Linked DNA regions of Yarrowia lipolytica. The protein of the gene in region 2 interacts with the protein of the main gene of each other region in a pairwise test. Links are inferred from orthologs where the notes say so. Each region holds a gene or a part of one and is shown on either strand. Other genes may lie near its edges.

Evidence for each region.
Region 1: the proteins of YALI1_C16255g (region 2) and YALI1_C30884g interact in binary tests that used the Saccharomyces cerevisiae proteins (3 or more experiments, as listed by UniProt). The link is inferred for Yarrowia lipolytica from reciprocal best matches to the Saccharomyces cerevisiae genes BZZ1 and LDB17.
Region 3: the proteins of YALI1_C16255g (region 2) and YALI1_D02546g interact in binary tests that used the Saccharomyces cerevisiae proteins (3 or more experiments, as listed by UniProt). The link is inferred for Yarrowia lipolytica from reciprocal best matches to the Saccharomyces cerevisiae genes BZZ1 and APP1.
Region 4: the proteins of YALI1_C16255g (region 2) and YALI1_F39272g interact in a two-hybrid assay, tested with the Saccharomyces cerevisiae proteins (2 studies listed by BioGRID). The link is inferred for Yarrowia lipolytica from reciprocal best matches to the Saccharomyces cerevisiae genes BZZ1 and BOS1.

What each region holds. Positions count from the first base shown.
Region 1 is NC_090772.1:3,086,305-3,090,293, forward strand, and holds YALI1_C30884g (uncharacterized protein), read right to left. Parts: upstream 2,150-3,989; coding exon 503-2,149; downstream 1-502. Other genes in the region: YALI1_C30859g (uncharacterized protein), read left to right, coding at 1-234; YALI1_C30901g (uncharacterized protein), read left to right, coding at 3,884-3,989. UniProt on the Saccharomyces cerevisiae protein: May be involved in protein-linked oligosaccharide phosphorylation since the deletion reduces the negative charge of the cell surface.
Region 2 is NC_090772.1:1,623,168-1,627,594, forward strand, and holds YALI1_C16255g (uncharacterized protein), read right to left. Parts: upstream 2,716-4,427; coding exon 2,650-2,715; intron 2,339-2,649; coding exon 521-2,338; downstream 1-520. Other genes in the region: YALI1_C16204g (uncharacterized protein), read left to right, coding at 1-198; YALI1_C16275g (uncharacterized protein), read left to right, coding at 4,343-4,427. UniProt on the Saccharomyces cerevisiae protein: Plays a role in endocytosis and trafficking to the vacuole. Functions with type I myosins to restore polarity of the actin cytoskeleton after NaCl stress.
Region 3 is NC_090773.1:251,693-256,145, forward strand, and holds YALI1_D02546g (uncharacterized protein), read right to left. Parts: upstream 2,912-4,453; coding exon 524-2,911; downstream 1-523. UniProt on the Saccharomyces cerevisiae protein: Mg(2+)-dependent phosphatidate (PA) phosphatase which catalyzes the dephosphorylation of PA to yield diacylglycerol. May play a role in vesicular trafficking through its PAP activity at cortical actin patches.
Region 4 is NC_090775.1:3,925,968-3,929,140, forward strand, and holds YALI1_F39272g (uncharacterized protein), read right to left. Parts: upstream 1,242-3,173; coding exon 561-1,241; downstream 1-560. Other genes in the region: YALI1_F39261g (uncharacterized protein), read right to left, coding at 1-189; YALI1_F39291g (uncharacterized protein), read right to left, coding at 1,804-3,159.

The DNA.
Region 1 (3,989 bases), about 1.5 Mb from region 2:
ACTTTAGGGCTCAGAAATGTGACACTACCTAGCCCTCCATTTGCGACACCAGATCGAAGTCAGACCAGAGACTGGCCGCCGCTACTCGTAGATACTACAGTACTTGTAGTACATACTCTGATTGATCTAACAGAAACCTTCCTGGCGACGGTTCTACAGCTACTCACTCCTCTAATATTGTTGGATTGTGTTTTGAACTATATACAGTATTGTGGTAGTATAAATAGATGCTGATTTGGACTCTGTTATGTCCTCCTGGTCCATTTCCTTTTACTTGCCTCACATAGACCCTCTTGTCAGTGTTGTGTACTCTTGCCATTGTCAAGACTCTTACCAAATGAACGGTGACAAGACTCTGAGATGATTCAATGGTATGCGAGCCCTGACTCCATGGAACCATGGAACTAGAGTATCACAAGACCAGCCTCTATCTCTACCTATGACCGTCCCTCAAGGATGATTGCCTGGTCATACTCATGCTCTGACCCAATAACTCCATCTCCTACTCCCGCTCGGCAACACTTAAATCTCCCACGCTGGTATTTCTGATACTCATGTCGAGCAGTTTCTTTCTGCTGGGAGGCAGCCGCGGCTTCTCCTTCTTGTCCTTCTTGTCACGAGACTCCTTCACGTCCTTCTTCGGCGCAGGAGAATTCCTGCTCGGCGGCGGAGGAGGAGCTGGACTCTTGACCCGTGATATTTGCGGCATCGGAGACTTGCCTCTAGACGGAGGAGGAACGGGAGGCCCCTTGGACGACGCACGTGACGGTGGAGGCGGTGGCGCAAGCTTGAGTGAGGAAATGAGCGATGTGGTGGATGACATGGCCGAATTGGTGCCCAGAGAACTCTGACTAAGTCGCCGAGTACCACTGAAATCGGTCATACCAATGCTGGGCACTCGGATCTTTGAGGGGCTCTCCTCCTCGTTGAACGAGCCGATAGAAGAACTGGGAGAGGGGGGAACGGTGCTCATGGGAGACGGGAACGTGTACTCCAGCCACGGGACTCCGAGACATCTCACAGCCAGTCGTAATGTCGTCTCTGATACTGGAAGGAAAGTACTACTTCCCTTGTGACCTGAAAGCATCTCCAACACATCAGTCAGACCCTCAATCTTGTACGGCTCGTGTCTGATTTGGGAGTTGACCATAAGTGGGTGGAGAACTCGCAAATACGTGTTAATGAGCTGCTCTTCGTCATTGGGCAAGTCGTGGAGCTCTCGAATGAACACGTCGATGAGCACCAACAGATCGTTTGTGTAGAAATACTCATAAGTGGGTTCATTCGTGAACAACAAATACAACAGCTTCAGACCCATGATCTGAAGACATGTATCTATCGCTCGATTCAGTAACAGCACCAACTTTGCGCCAAACTCCACGTATCCGTCGATATCTAGGGAAATCAGATCCAGCACTTTACTCGAATAAATCCCCGACTCTTCGTCTTCATCGTAAGCTGCAATCATATACTGCTCATTGAGACAGAGCAAGACTTTCATGACGGAAGCGTCGTACAGCGAGGTATCGTCTCTGTCTGCGTTGACAACGGTCCTCAAGAGCGAGTCGATAAACTTGTCGGAAATGTTTTCCAAGTCTGACGTGGAAATTCGCTGGATTTTGCACATTTCAAACGTGAGCTCGAGCAACACTCTTCTGAGCCGTAAAGCCGACGTCTTCTGAAACGTCAGCAAGAGCCGAGTCAGCGCATGGCATGCGTTTTCCTCTTGCATCATTTCCAGAGTGGCGGGATGCGAATCAGAGTCTATGAGCAGAATCAAAGACACCACCGCCGCCAGGTCTGTGTATTCCTCTGCCAACGTCAACATGGCGATCAATTTGCGACGGGTGAAGGCTTTGTGGAGCGTGAAAATCGGAGAAGTGGTCAGCTTGTATCCTGCTCGAAAGAGATCGTTGTCGGAGACGAGAAAATCAGATAAATGTTTAGTTGCAAATAGGAGGTAGTCCTTCAGTGCCGACTCGACCACGGGATATGAGTGGGTCTTCACAGAGACTATATCCAGCAGTTTGGTCCAGAAGTCCGAGTCCGACATGTCGCCATCTTCTTCTGGAGGAATGGAAATGTCCGGTGCAAGAAGAGGCTCGTCTGAGACGGAGCTCATGAGACTTTCCAGTAGTGTTTCCATCATTGGATTGATAGAGTGAACCGGTTAGCGATGATGGGCTGTCTGTGAGCTGAGTTAGTATGGCGGTCTTAGCTGAGTTTGACCTTTCCCCTTGAGATAGGGCATATTTACTCACCAATGATGGACCGAAACGAATGTGGTCAATGTTGTAGTTTAGTGGTCAGTGTGGTCAGTGTTGTAGTTTAGCAGTCCGTGCTCGACGTGCAAGTCACAAATGGCTTCGTCTCTCTCTCTCTCTCTCTCTCTCTCTCTCTCTCTCTCTCTGTTGGGAGTCGATCACCTCGGTCTTGCTCAAGTCTCGACGTGATCCAAGACGGGATATCACGTGATTTCCAATCAATTCAAACCAATGGTCAAATCACGTGCAACGCGCCTGTTGATCTGGTCGTCGTTGCTGTTCCTAAATGCTCAAATGTCGCCGCGGCAGTATCACGTGGATGTAAATAAACAGTCCCCAGAATTCCACGGCTGTTCTCGTCGGTTGCTGGTCGGAATTGGCGCTCTTGAATGGTTTCTCCCCGTATATCACTTGAATGGGTCTCTCTGTCTCTCTCTCTCTGTCTCTCTCTGTCTCTCTCTCTCTCTCTCTCTGGAGCCCCTGGTCTTTTTGTGCCGGTTTTTGATCCCCCGCGCCGTGTGTGTAAGTGGTTACTGGTATCTGAATCTGGGAAGGGCTGTATCTTTTAGGACCCAATGCCCCCACCTCCCAAATGCACGCTCTTTCTAATCTGGGGTGATGGCAAAGTTTATTGGGGAGCGAATGGAGCAGTAAGGGTGGTGGTAAGGGTGGTGGTAAGGGTGGCGGTAAGGGTGGCGGTAAGGGTAGTATTCCGGTAAGGGTAAGGGTAAGGGTAGTGATCCGGATCGGGTAGTATCCCGACCCTGATACTGCCAATAATACCTAACCCATGTTCTTTTCTCTCATGGCTTCACTTGCTCCGAACTCCCGCTACTTGTACATATCCCAATATGGTTGCCCTTGCAGAAAAAGTTTCAGCGAAAATTGGCGTGAGGTATTAACATGGTTCGGGGAATTTAAAAATAGACCGTGGGAGCTGGCCCGGCCGAGAACGGGACGTTTGGACGCCTCAAAATGGAGCTGTCGACGAGGCGAATCTCGTGATATGCTTGGTTTTTCTCTGGCTTCGATTTTGGTCGATTCGACACCCTTGTCGGACAAGTTTTCAGGTCCGATGCGGATCAGGCGGAGTTCTCGAGCAGTTTGAAGGGTCACGTGATGTAGAGGCAGAGTTTAGTAAGGGGGAGTTAAGGGGTGGTTTAGAAAGGCCATTAGTGTTGTATTTTTTGTTTCTGTCAGTTCTTGTCCCTGGCTAATGAGTTGGGCGGTGGTGGAGTACAGTACATTGTCAGAAGCACAGGTTGTGGCTTGTTGTCTGGGGGGTGAGAGTTGGTGAATGATTTTGGGATTATTGCTTGTTCTTTTGTGACTTGAATCTTTTCTTTTGCAATCAAAATCTTCGTTCTTGATGGAGTTATATCGTTCCGTTCCACTCAACTACCCCAACTACATTCCTCCATTTTGTTAACTAAATTCATCAAATCCCCAACTACGTTCTTTCAATTTCCAACTAATGTTCTCCTTTATTCCAACTAGATTTCTTCATTTTGTCACCATCCTCCGAATTTCCAACTAATTCCTCCAATTCCCAACTACATCATCCATCATCCAAACGTTAATCGCCAACCTGATGCACACCACTTCAACTCTCCAGCAACATGTTCAAACGAAAGAAAAACGCGGGACAGAAACGAACCACCATAATCGACTCGGATTCGTCGTCCGAAGGCTCTGGAGATGAATCCGCGCTTTCCAGCGCCTTCA
Region 2 (4,427 bases):
GGTGAGATGATGGGTGCCCCTACTCCAGGTGCTGCTCACCATCCTTGGGAAGATTCTGCTCCGACACCTGCTGCCTATAACGACGCGCGAACTCCGGGTGTCTATGATCCTCGAGGTTCTGGACCTGCTCAGGCCGAAACCCCTGCAGCCTGGTCCACGGATGATGCTCCTCGATATGATGATTCTCCCACTCCTTAGTGGGACGTGTGTGTATAATAAATGATTGTGTATTATTCTGCAATATAGATATGAGCGGCTTCCGCGTAGAGGCAATTGTGTGGCTGTTGTACATTACATACTATACTGGTGTAAGTGGTAGATTGAACTTCTGGGCGGTGATCTTCGATTACCAGCGTACTGTACTTGTATGATTAATACCATCAGCGCGTATATAATTACGATCGCACTGTAGGTGAACAAAAAGTAGCAATATCATTGAACAAACAACTGACTTATTCGTTATGCTTTATACCACTCGTTAGCATCATAGCTGAAAAGTTCGAGTCGTTGGTCTCATCAGCTACTCCACGTAACTTGTGGGGAAAGCACCTCTTTGTCCGTTCAACTCTCCCTCCGTCCATCCATCTCTATCGGGCTCCACCACCACAATCTGGTCACCGGCCTTGATCGACAGCTCGGTATCGTCCTGGGCATTGTAATCATACAGTGCGGTGACGTAATCGACCTTTTTGGCACCCTGTTTGGGCGCGACAGGAGGACCCTTTCGTTTGATTGAGAACGCAGACTTCAAGCTTCCACCTCCACCTCCAGAGGATGGTGTGGTGGCACTCTTGGGAGGGTTCATGTCGACATATGAAGCAGGCACAAGTCCGTCAGTGCCATCGCTCTTCCGCACTCGAATCCATCCAGAGCCATCATCGGTCTCAAGAACAGTCACATGCTCGTTTTCGGAAATGAACACCTCGTCGCTTCCCTGAGGTTCATATCTATACAACACCAATGCAGAACTCTCCTTGTTCCATGGAATGGGGTCTCCTTCTCTGTATGTTAGAGTGTCCAGAATCAACTTTCCCGTGCCGCCAAATCCTGAGGTGGTGGTGTTGCTTCGTTTCACCGGTGTCGGTTCCGGAATGTTTCGATCAATCTTCTTTTTGCCAAACAAGAAGTTGTGTCGTTTCTTGATCACAACGGGTTGGTATGAGTCGAGATCCTTCTCACCAGTGTTGTGTTTGATGGTCTCAGTTTCGACTTCTGCAATGGTACGCTTGGTGTCGTCCACCGTGAGACTTCTCAGAGCGTTGATAGACTGACTAAGCAGCTCAAAGTGGTTGTTGGAAGCTGAATCAGAGTCTGCCTCGGCCAGCTTCGTTGCCTTTCGCTTCTCCAAGTCCTGGAAGCCGGCCTCCTTGGACGCAATAGTGTCTTCGAACTGGTGGCTGAGTCGCTGCGAGTCGCCCAGTACAGTATGCAGGTATCTGAGAGCCACATCATCGAGAACCATGTTCTCATCGTCGTGCCAAATAGGGCACGGCTCGTAAATGAAGTCGATGGGTTCCTCCCATCCGTTAGGGGCAATATTGTGCTTGGTGAACATGGCAGAGTCAAGAACGGGATGGTTTTGTGCAACCATTTCAATGGTAGCGTTCATATGCTCGGTGCATCGATTGTTGCATGCAATTTCGAGAGAAGCAGCCTTGCTCAAGAGTCCGTTGAGCAGCTTGACTCGTAGTTCGTTGAGTTCCTGGTATCTATCCAGCAGTTCAGGAACATCCTGGTGATAGTACTTGTCCTTGAGACGGTTGGCGACGTTGATCTTTACAAGATACATATTTTTGGCGTCGTTCATGTCGGCGTTCTTCGACTCAAGCTTCCGTTCCAACTTCTCCTTAGATTGACCAATGAGACCGCCCAGCGCTCCTCCCTTTTGGCCCTTCATCCGCTGGTTCTCGACAGCCTGGCAGGCGTCGTAGTAGCCGTTTTTGGTCTTCTTGAGCAGCGAGTAGTATCCATCTCGGTCCTCAATCAGCTTCTCAGAGAACGTTTGCAGGTTCTTTCGGACGTTTTCACTTTTCAGGGACAGGGCATGGACCTGGTCGGCGATTTGGAGGTTGAGCTCGGACGCCAGACGGTTCTTCTCCTTGGCCAATGTTTCGGTCTGGGTCAAAATTTCTCCCCAAGTGACAAGAGATGCGGATTCAAGAGACCCAGGAGTGACTTCAGGATGTTCTCCGACTGATAGAACGGAAGACACTCGAGCTTTCTTCTCAAAGTACTTAGAACTGAGCGAAGAGAGCTTCTGGGAGTACTCTTTTTCAATGGAGGCTCGTTCTCGGTAGAAGGACTGAACATCCGAGAGGAAGGCGATTCCGTGTTGAGACTGTGTTAGTAAGAACTTTGAGTGAAGTTGCAGAGGATAATGGAGATAATTGGCGCCTAGCCACGTCTCCTCGTGACTCCAGAGAAACCCGTGGATTGGCCCAAATAAGACTCTCTTGGATGCGAAGATGGAGGATATACCAGACAGGGCTTACTATACCTTCATCCGTTGCTACGGAGCCGTTTATAACAGAAAATATCACCGCCAGCTCAAGAATCACACCAATACCGACACTTTCTTATCTCCCCCTTACTCCATACCACGAGTCTTAGTCACATCATGTGGACAGCTCCCTCACTTCCCACACTCACCCAATTGTCCACCTTCTCCCAGCCATCGAGCAGCTCGGTGCCCATGCTAACTTGAACGTCCGCCATGTTGATGTTGTATTCTGGTTCCTGTAGCTAGTGGTTCACGCAGGTTGTTCACGACATGTGGCAGGATAATGCGGGTTGCCGTGGAGACGCAACACGAAACGCTAAAGGGTTACCCGGATTAATATCCGTAGAGATCTGGCAGGTGGATGGAGCAGGAGAGCCGTGACAAGGATGGTTGAGAAGCCCGCATCCAGCTGGATTTATTTAATGTAGTGACGGTTCAATATCACGTGTCCGACACGAAGCATCTCCCTCGTTTTGAAATTAACTTGTGTGGGGAATGTTGACTGGTAATGTAATTTTTCGGAATAAAGCCAGCGTGTAGACATCGATTAGCGGCTGGCGTTTCGATGATGGCAGTGCACGTCACGGGTACAGCCACTTTCGGGGTTGTGTCCCTACCAGAGATGGCGGTGGAGATTTGAAACGATTAGTGACGTTTGCTTAGTCACATTTTCTTAGTCACACTTGCTTAGTCACGTTTGCTTAGTCACGTTTGCTTAGTCACACTTGCTTAGTCACGTTTGCTTAGTCACGTTTGCTTTTTCATATTTGCTTTCTATGTTTGCTCTTTTCATCGCTGGGGGAATGCAAGGACGATGTTGAGTATTCGTATCGAAAAGTAAATACTATCTAAGTAGCCTTGTGAATGTATAGTTGCGTAATTGTTAAAGTGGTAATTAGGTGATTATAGAAAAGTCCAAGTACGATACTGATCAACCTTGCCACACTCAAAGACGGGTAACCCTTAGACCGGGTAATTGCATTGATACGCGTAGAAGGACCGTCGATCGATAAGAGTGGTGGAGGACTGAACTCGGTTTTTGACCGGTCGAGCCTCGGCCTCGTCCTTGAGTGCCTGCAGAGGTTTGAGGAAGGGGAGAAACATTGAATTCGACCATTGATGAAGCTGAAACTGGATACAAGTCTCTTTTTTTTGGTTCTATTCACTCACTGCAATTCCCTGTGCGTTAGAGTAAATTGGTCGTGCTTCCTATATGTTGACATTCTATAAGCGACTTCTGGACAGTGGTGTAAAATCAGCAATAAGAAGACCATGGAAGTAGTGTAAGTTTCGGAACAATTATCAGCTTGCAACAATCTCAATTGGGTGCTGGAGTCCGTCCCTTGTCATCAGAATATTCACCCTCCAGAGAAATTTCTAGAGCTTCGGCATGTGCTTATTAATACAAACTCTAAAATGCAACGCTTAACTGAAAGTATATTTAGCTGATTTCGATTGCTTGTAATTAATGGCTGCAAACAGGCCCAAAATGAAGGTAATTAAATGTAGTGGACAGATTTTGTGGATTTGTATAAACTATTCATTTGACTTTGGCCCTCAATTCGTCACTGGAGAGTGTTACCCACCCCGGAATCGAACCAACACCCCCCTTATTTCCCAAACCCTAACTTTAAAACTACCCTAGATACATACACACAACACTTGTTTTTTTTGTACATCTACCACAACCATCATGTCTGGTGAGTATCACCCCTAATACGTCTCGTTCCAAGCGCTAACACAGTCGATTTCAACACCCTCGCCAAGCAGTTCTGCGAGTTCTACTACCAGACCTTCGATACCGACCGGTCTCAGCTCGGTAACCTCTACCGAGATCACTCTATGCTCACCTTCACCGGTACTCAGCACCAGGGTGCCCAGGCTATCGTTGAGAAACTTGTTGGCCTTCCCTTTGGCCAGGTCCGAC
Region 3 (4,453 bases), on a different chromosome or scaffold from region 2:
TATAATCCCATCTGTTCTTATTGTGCCCAGGAAGAGCTGATTGTGGAGTCGTTTTTGTAGGTCACGACTCACACAGCCCCGCTGCATATAGCCGTGTATTCGATAGCCGCCGAGGTTGAAGAATGACCAGAAACACTCGAGAGTTGACGTTCAATGGATGACAACCTCTCGCCCATAGAAATAGTTTGTTATCCTCATGCCTAGTTCGTTCCTCTCCGGCCTTGGTTGTACTACTCTCTCGGACCTGAACTTCACCAGTATCTCTGAGGTTTATAGAACAAACCAATCGATCAGAGACAGTATAGAGAGATACGCTGAACTGTCAATGTCACGCAGTATATCACTACATACTGTACACTCCTACAACACAGCAAATCCTACTTGAAAAATTAACAAGGTAAAATCTAATCAAATAATTTAAAATGCTACCGTTTCCAGAAAGGCTCGTTGTTCCTACTGTACTTCAGTCTAGAGCCGCTCTAGATCACGACTCGCTTCAGCTCTGGGTGAGCTTTTTACATGACTATAACAGCTCCTTAATAGGTTCCTTTTCCACCGTCTTTGCCAGCTCCAGTGTCTCCCCTTCGACCTTTGGAGGCTCCTTCCATAGTCTCAATCTGACATTAGCAGGTAACTCCCTTCGCGCTCGTCTCACCCGCTCCTTCCACTTGAACTGCCGATCATTGTCAGAGTACAGTCTAGGTGTCTCATCCGTCTCCTGAGATGCTGCCACGTTCATAGATCCACTGGTGACCTGATCAGAAATGCTTCTCATAGTCTCAGGCTGAATCTTGCGTCTCGGAGGCAGAGGGGGGGCTCCATAGGCCGCTGTAGCAGCGATGGCAGCATTGGACGCAGCGGAGTCCGGTTTTCCAGTGTGTTCTCGGTCGACGTTCTCATCGGTCTTCTTTCCAGCAAGACCAACGGGCTTTCTAGGAACAGGAGGAGGCACTTTCTTGCCGATAGGAGAGTCCATGAGGTTTACAGGCTGAACAGGCTTGCGCGCCACTTTCATTGGTCGTTCTCGTTCATCAGCCTCCTTTTTGAGAGCAGCAATTTCGACTCTAAGAAAGTCGTAGTCCAGTTCTCGGTCAGACGTAATGTCTCGAATATAGATGCCGAGAATCTGTTGGGGATAGACCTTGGCAAGTTCCACGTAGGCCTCCAGATCACCCTCTCCGGAGTCTCCAACGAGAATGAAGCGTCGCTGGGGGAAGTCTCGCAGAATCTGCTCCAAATTAAACTTCTTTCGTTCAGCAGGGGCTTCAAAAAGCTGAGACAAGACTCCAGCGTAGTCTTTCAGATGAATGGATCCTCTAGGGAAGCCGTGCATGTGCAAATACTCCTTGATGACCGGGTACAGCTGCCAGGGTGAATTCGAGACGTAATGGGTCTGAACACCCAGTCCTGACAACTTGTTGTACCACTCCACCACTCCAGGGATACTCAGGCCGTCCAGATCCTTCACAAACACGTTCTTGATCATGGCCTTTTTGTCTCCAGTCACTCCAGTGTGTTTGATGGTGTCATCAATATCGGAAATCAGAGACACTCCCTCATATGACACATCGATGAGATCCTGCTGGACCGAATAGGGTGTGTTTCTGACATGGATTTTCATGATTGTTGGCTTGAAATCGAGCCGCAAAGCAGTTCCAAACTTACCCGAAGTGTGGGAATGCAGAGTCGTCGACGTGGCGTGCTCATTGTCGTCTATAATGGTGACATCGAGGACGGCGTTGACGAGCGGCTGAGCCACAAATGGCGCAAACCGCTCCTTCATGATTGTGTCTTCCAGGGAAGAGTCAGCGGGGAGTGATTGAGAACTGGCAGTGGAGTCCAGCGAGATGCTGCTGGCAATAGTGGTTGTTCTGCTGGAATAGATGCGACTAGCAGGGGGAGGGGGGACTCGTCTTCTACCGGCAGTAGGGGAATCACGCGAGGGAGATTCATATCCATCCCTCACGGATGAAGCACGTGAAGAAGTAGTCGATCTAGACGAAACCGACTCAGATCCGTCCAAATCAATCAAATCCGGGGTACTGGCACTCTGTGCTCCATTTCTGAACCCCCTAGTACTCATTCGGCCCTGTCTCTCCTTCTCAATTTCTTCCAATGCGGCAATATCTCGTTCCAGTTTTTCCTCGGAGTTGCCACTGAGATACGATCTGACCATGTTCAGAATAAACCGGTTCTTTCGCGACGTCCATTCTCCAGGCACAGAGATGGTTCCCTTAATATCCACCTCATGGGTTCCATCAGGAAGCATTCGAGAGTAGGTGGGGTAAGCTGTGATTGTGGGTGCCAGGTTCGTCTCCGACAGATCCAACGGCTCGTTGTTCTGGGTCAATTTCTCAGCCACAAACGTTTCTGACTTGGTCTTGATGGACTGCCAGATTTTGCGCGTGTTGTATCCACTCATTCTCAGCCAGTGCTTGAAGTAGTATGGTTTTCGGGTCGCTCTGTAGTAGTACAGCAATCGGGCAATGTCTCGTCCCTTGGGCTGACCGGCCTTGTGTCGTTTCTTGCGCTCTTCGCGTTTCAGGCGCCGTTCCAACCGCTGCTGTTTGCTCCAGCGGGTGAAGATGGACTTGAAAAACCGGTAGACAAACGAGTGGCGTTTCTTGACAATGTAGGGGGCCGGAGGGGGCTGAGAGGCTGGTGTTAGAGCAGTGACGACGTTTTTCGACGGCTTCAAGCTCCGTTTGTGTTCGAACCGGAGCGCTCCTTTGGGTCTGGGGGACGCGACTACTGTGGTGGGCTTGCGTGCGGTGGTGGCAGTAACTTCTTTTTTAGCCGATAAAAAGGCGTTCTGGAGGGTCGGCGAAAAGTGTCTTTGGTGGACGAGTAACGGGCGACTGAGCGGGGCACGTGACGCGAGAGACAGCCGCGTGGATCGCGCCAAAAACATGATACCGGTGCAGCGAATCGATCGATCACAAGTTCGGTTATCCAGACACACTACAAGTACACTTCACTTTCGGACAAGACAACAAGAGACCAGTCCAAAAAGTATAATCCACGTGTGGTGTATGTATGGATGAGATGGGAGATGGCAAGTAGAGGTCACAAGAGAGGGTCAGAAGAGCAGAGACCAAAGAGGAAAAGGGTCGTGTGGTGTCTCGCACATGATATACGACTCGAAAGCTTTTTTTCTTTCTCTTTCTTCGCGGCGGTTTACCCCAGTAGCGTCTCTTTGGGGGATGCTGCTATGTATCACTTGCTATTGTGCTGCCTCACTTGTATGCAGGTTGCACGGAGACACACACAGGTGGACTTTTTGGGGGTAATCTATAGAGATGTATTACATACATACAACTGCAGAAATTTATATCACGTGTCCAACAACGTATCCCCACTATCCGGCTTACTAAACATCCCGTTTAGACTCCTCCTACAGCACTACTTGTAGTACATACGAGTACTTGTACTCTCAAACAACCGTTAACAAGCTCATCTCGCACAAGCAAACTTTATTGGAAAAGGGCAGAGCAACGCAACACAGCAACAAGACGCCCAAATGGAAGTTTTAATGAGAGAAAAGGGTCGCGAACACTTGTAAATCGACATAACGTGTCCTGTCATTCCCTCTTGGGTGTGTGTGTATGCTGTATAGTCATGTTGGGTTTATCCGTTTGGCGCCTCCGGCTCGATAACGAAAGCTTAAGCAGTCGAGTGTTCTAAATTCAGTTTTGCTCTTAACCTGAACAAGACAAATTCAGAGCCGCATAGATATGGAGGTTTGTTTTGGGCACTGATCAGGTGATATATTACTTGGATATTGTATTTTATGGTATCTATGTGATCGGGGAAGCTGACAGATTAGGACTATTATAAAATATGAGTTACATTTTGCAGTAAACACGAGAGGTGGTTGTTCTCAAGACACTATGAAAAGTTATCTAATTTTTTTTTTGTAACTGTCTCGAAGTCAACAAATCAAAGTAATTTTGTTTGCAATCCAAGTAAGATTTGTGACGAAACTTTGGGGGACGAAATCGTTCCAGAAAAGAAAAAAAAAAGACTTTTCAGAAGCCTATTGTAAGTATCTGTGTAAGATTCAATTACGGTGTCCCCCTACGGTGTAATATAACCCCCCCTAGAACCAAACTGCCCACTCATTGTTGGGTCTCTACGCATATTCTAAACCCCATGAAGCAGCTACCATGTACACAAGTGCGCCATGTATCTCACGCCACAATTACGTAATAACAAAAATACACACACAATTGTCACCCTCCTCGAGGTCCACAGATTGATTCCCCGCTATATATATATATATATATATATATATATATCCTAATAACCCCACTGTGTAGTCCCCAAACCCCCCATCCCAGATTCCCTCGCCACCGAATCCCACAACCCTATCGAGCTTAAACCTCCGCTTACCAAAGCTGTCGTTAAAGGAGATGGAGGTATATGTAGCAAGTAGGGAGATGAGAGAACTCGG
Region 4 (3,173 bases), on a different chromosome or scaffold from region 2:
TTGCAGCTCAATCAGCAGCTTCTCAATCGCTACATGGGCACACAGAGCCATGCGAGCAGGAGTCTCGTTGGGCTTCATTGGAATTGTCTGAGCCTTGCCCATGAGCGTGGATGCGAGATTTGTCACCTCCCTTGGAATCGGAACGTTTCCCACCAGCTTGACAATCTCCGCGTTGATTTGTTGGTTCATGGTGAGTGTACTGTTGCGTCACATCCAACTTTTCAGATTGTCCCGTTCTTGTATTAAACTATTAGAGTTTGGGTGGATAACACTGATCAGGATATGATAAAAGTTCGTATGTAGGAGCCAAGTAGGAGTGATAGGGACATGCCCTACGGTATGTAGATAACTCATAGTTTTGTCTCACTTGTAACTATATACAGGTAGTCAATTTCCGTATCATCCTCCTCAGCATGTCCACCATTATCTATTATTATATGTAAAGATTGTTCCACCGTTAATTAAACCGTACCTGTTCTCTCTCACTCTGGGCTCTCTGTTTTGTTTTGTTTTGAGTCGCGTTGTTTTGTTTTTATGACCATTAGCTTGCTGGTCGTCTCCTAACTGAACCACTTCAAGATGTAATAGAAACACACGAGCATGAAGACGATGCCTCCGTAGAAAAACCGTTTGTCCTGTCGTGCTCTCTTCTCCACCATCTTGATGGTCTCTCGAGACAGACCCAGAGTCTCGGCCACAGACCGCATCTTCTTTCCGGTGCTTCTCAAAATGTCGCTCTGCTCCTGCAAGTCGCCCAGAGCAGCCATTCCCTGCTCAATGAATGAGTCGAGCTGCTGGCCCACCTGGTTCAGAGACGACTGTTCCCTTTGCATGCCCTCTTCTCGTGTAAGATCTGTGTAGGTCGGCTGAATCGGCACGTCTCGGTTCACGTTTCTGTTTCGCGACTCGCCGTAAGGGTTGTCTCCAAACAGCGCCGTTTTGTTCTCCTCTAGCGTTTTCTCTTCTCGGGCCGATCTGAGGTTCTTGAACTCGCTTCGTGCGTCGGCCAGCTCTTCACGAAACCGAGCCAGACGTGCCTCAGCCTTTTCCTTCTTCTCCTTGTTGTGTTCCTTGTTGATAATTTCCGAATAGTCGTCCAGGGTTCGGCTGAAGGAGGTCATGGTAGCCGAAATCTGGCCTTGTAGCGACATGGGCGCCCCTGCGGGGTTGGCGGAGAACTCGGACAGGTCCTTCTTTAAGCTGGCATTCTGCTTCACCAGATGGTTGTGAATCGCGTTCATGGTGAAAGTAGCTAGTTTGCGGTACGAGCCCTCGTTGTTTGTTAGATGACGTGTTAGGTTGGTGATGTATCTCCAAGGTGTGAGTAGTTCCAACAACCTAAACTTTTATTGTTGTGGTTGGCACAATGTGATGTGCACGGGATGCACTGCTTTCGGAGTCAGGGGTACAAAAATGGATTTATGGAAAGTATGGCGAGGTTTTTGGAGCTGAACTACAAGTAGAGGTTTAGATAGCGCAAGAATTTTTTCAAGGGGCCGTTAATAGGACAACGTGCTTTTTTTTTCTTTTTCCCCTGCATACAAGTACCAGGTGGAGCTGAGTCCAAGTAAACATCTACTAAACTTTGAACTAGCTGCTCGTTCTTAACAAGCTTCAGGCTGTAAATTGTACAAATGCAGAAGAAAAAAAAAGTTGGCTACGAGGGCATCACAACTCATCAATAATAGATAGCTATGCAGCTATACAAGCAGGTTCGTACCCGCTCATAAGCAAGCCCGCAAGCTTGCTCACTCTCCCCTTCTTCCGTGAAGACTCTATTAGCTATGTACAAATAATTCTCCCTTAAGTAACGTACTTTCGAGAGTAAGCGACCTTCTTGTCGAGAGTGCTCATTCGGCCCTTTCGCCACATAATGACAAGCATGACGGTGGTAAACACACACACGCCGTACCAGGTGGCAATATACTGTAAATGGGTGTTTCGAAGATCGACCTTGGGCAGCTTTCCAATGGGCACTCCATGGTTCATCATATGGGACTCGGTGACCCACTCGTGGCCTCCGAGGCGCATGTTGAGCTCCTCCTCCAAGTAAATGTTCTGAGCTCCGGTGAACTTGGACATTGTCGGAATGTCCATGAAGTTGTAGATTCGGACACTGGGGGAAGTTGGGGAATCGGGAGTGAACATGTTCTTGAGAGGAACAGGTCTGAGCAGACAGACGAGAGAAACCTCGCCCTTGGGCAGAGCGAGAGGGTCTCGTTTCTTTTGGTCCGCCATCTCCTTGGAAATCCAGCCTCGCTTAATCAGCAGCTTGGATCCACCGGTCTTAGATCGGTCGAGAGGAGTCACAAGGAAGTAGCCCTCGACAGAGTCCTTCATTCGAGGTCCGACCAGGAACTCTTCATCGTGGCACAGTGTACCAGTAACCACCACCTTTCGGTACTCAAACTCTCTCTCCAGAACCTCCTGGTCCTCGGTAATGTGTCCAGGCAGGGGCAGAGGCTCCTGGAGAAGTCGGTTCTCACAATCGGCAATCTTGTCCACCTTCCACTGCAGACGTTTGACTTGCCATGTGCCAAGGTAGCCCGAAATGATAGGCATGAGGGCACAAAGACCGAGGAAGACAAAACGCTTTCGGTTCTTCTTCTGTGATTGCGGCTCTGGCTCGTCGCTCTCCAGCTCGTTAGCTCCAGACTGCTTCTTCTGCTGCTTAGGTTCTTCACTGTTGGTGTTGAACATGTTTTTGTTGTTAAGCAGAGCGCTTCTGGTCGAAAACTGTCGAGAGGCACATTGAGGGGTCAGTGTAGTGAAGGCAGGAGCTGTGGTGGAAATCCTTCCAATGCGGCTAGCGCCATATCGAGCCACTCTGAGAACTTGCATTGTTGATGAGGAAAAGTGGCTAAGTTTCGATATAGAATTGAGTATCTGCACGTTGTGCTGACTAAGTGTGGCTAGTTTGGGAGATTGTGGCGCAGTAGCCAATCGGCGAACATGATGCGGAACATGTTTGAGCGCACTAAACCACATTAAAAGTACTGAGACAGATACTATAAGATTCATGGAATTATCCCTTGTACTGTACGTATACTTGCACCTGCTATATTCGCCACAGATTAGGACGGAATTGGAGTTTTTAGTATGTGGTCTACGATTGTGCTGTTTGTCCACTTCACAACTACCCTCTGTGCTGAGTAGCATATGTCATGGTGGCA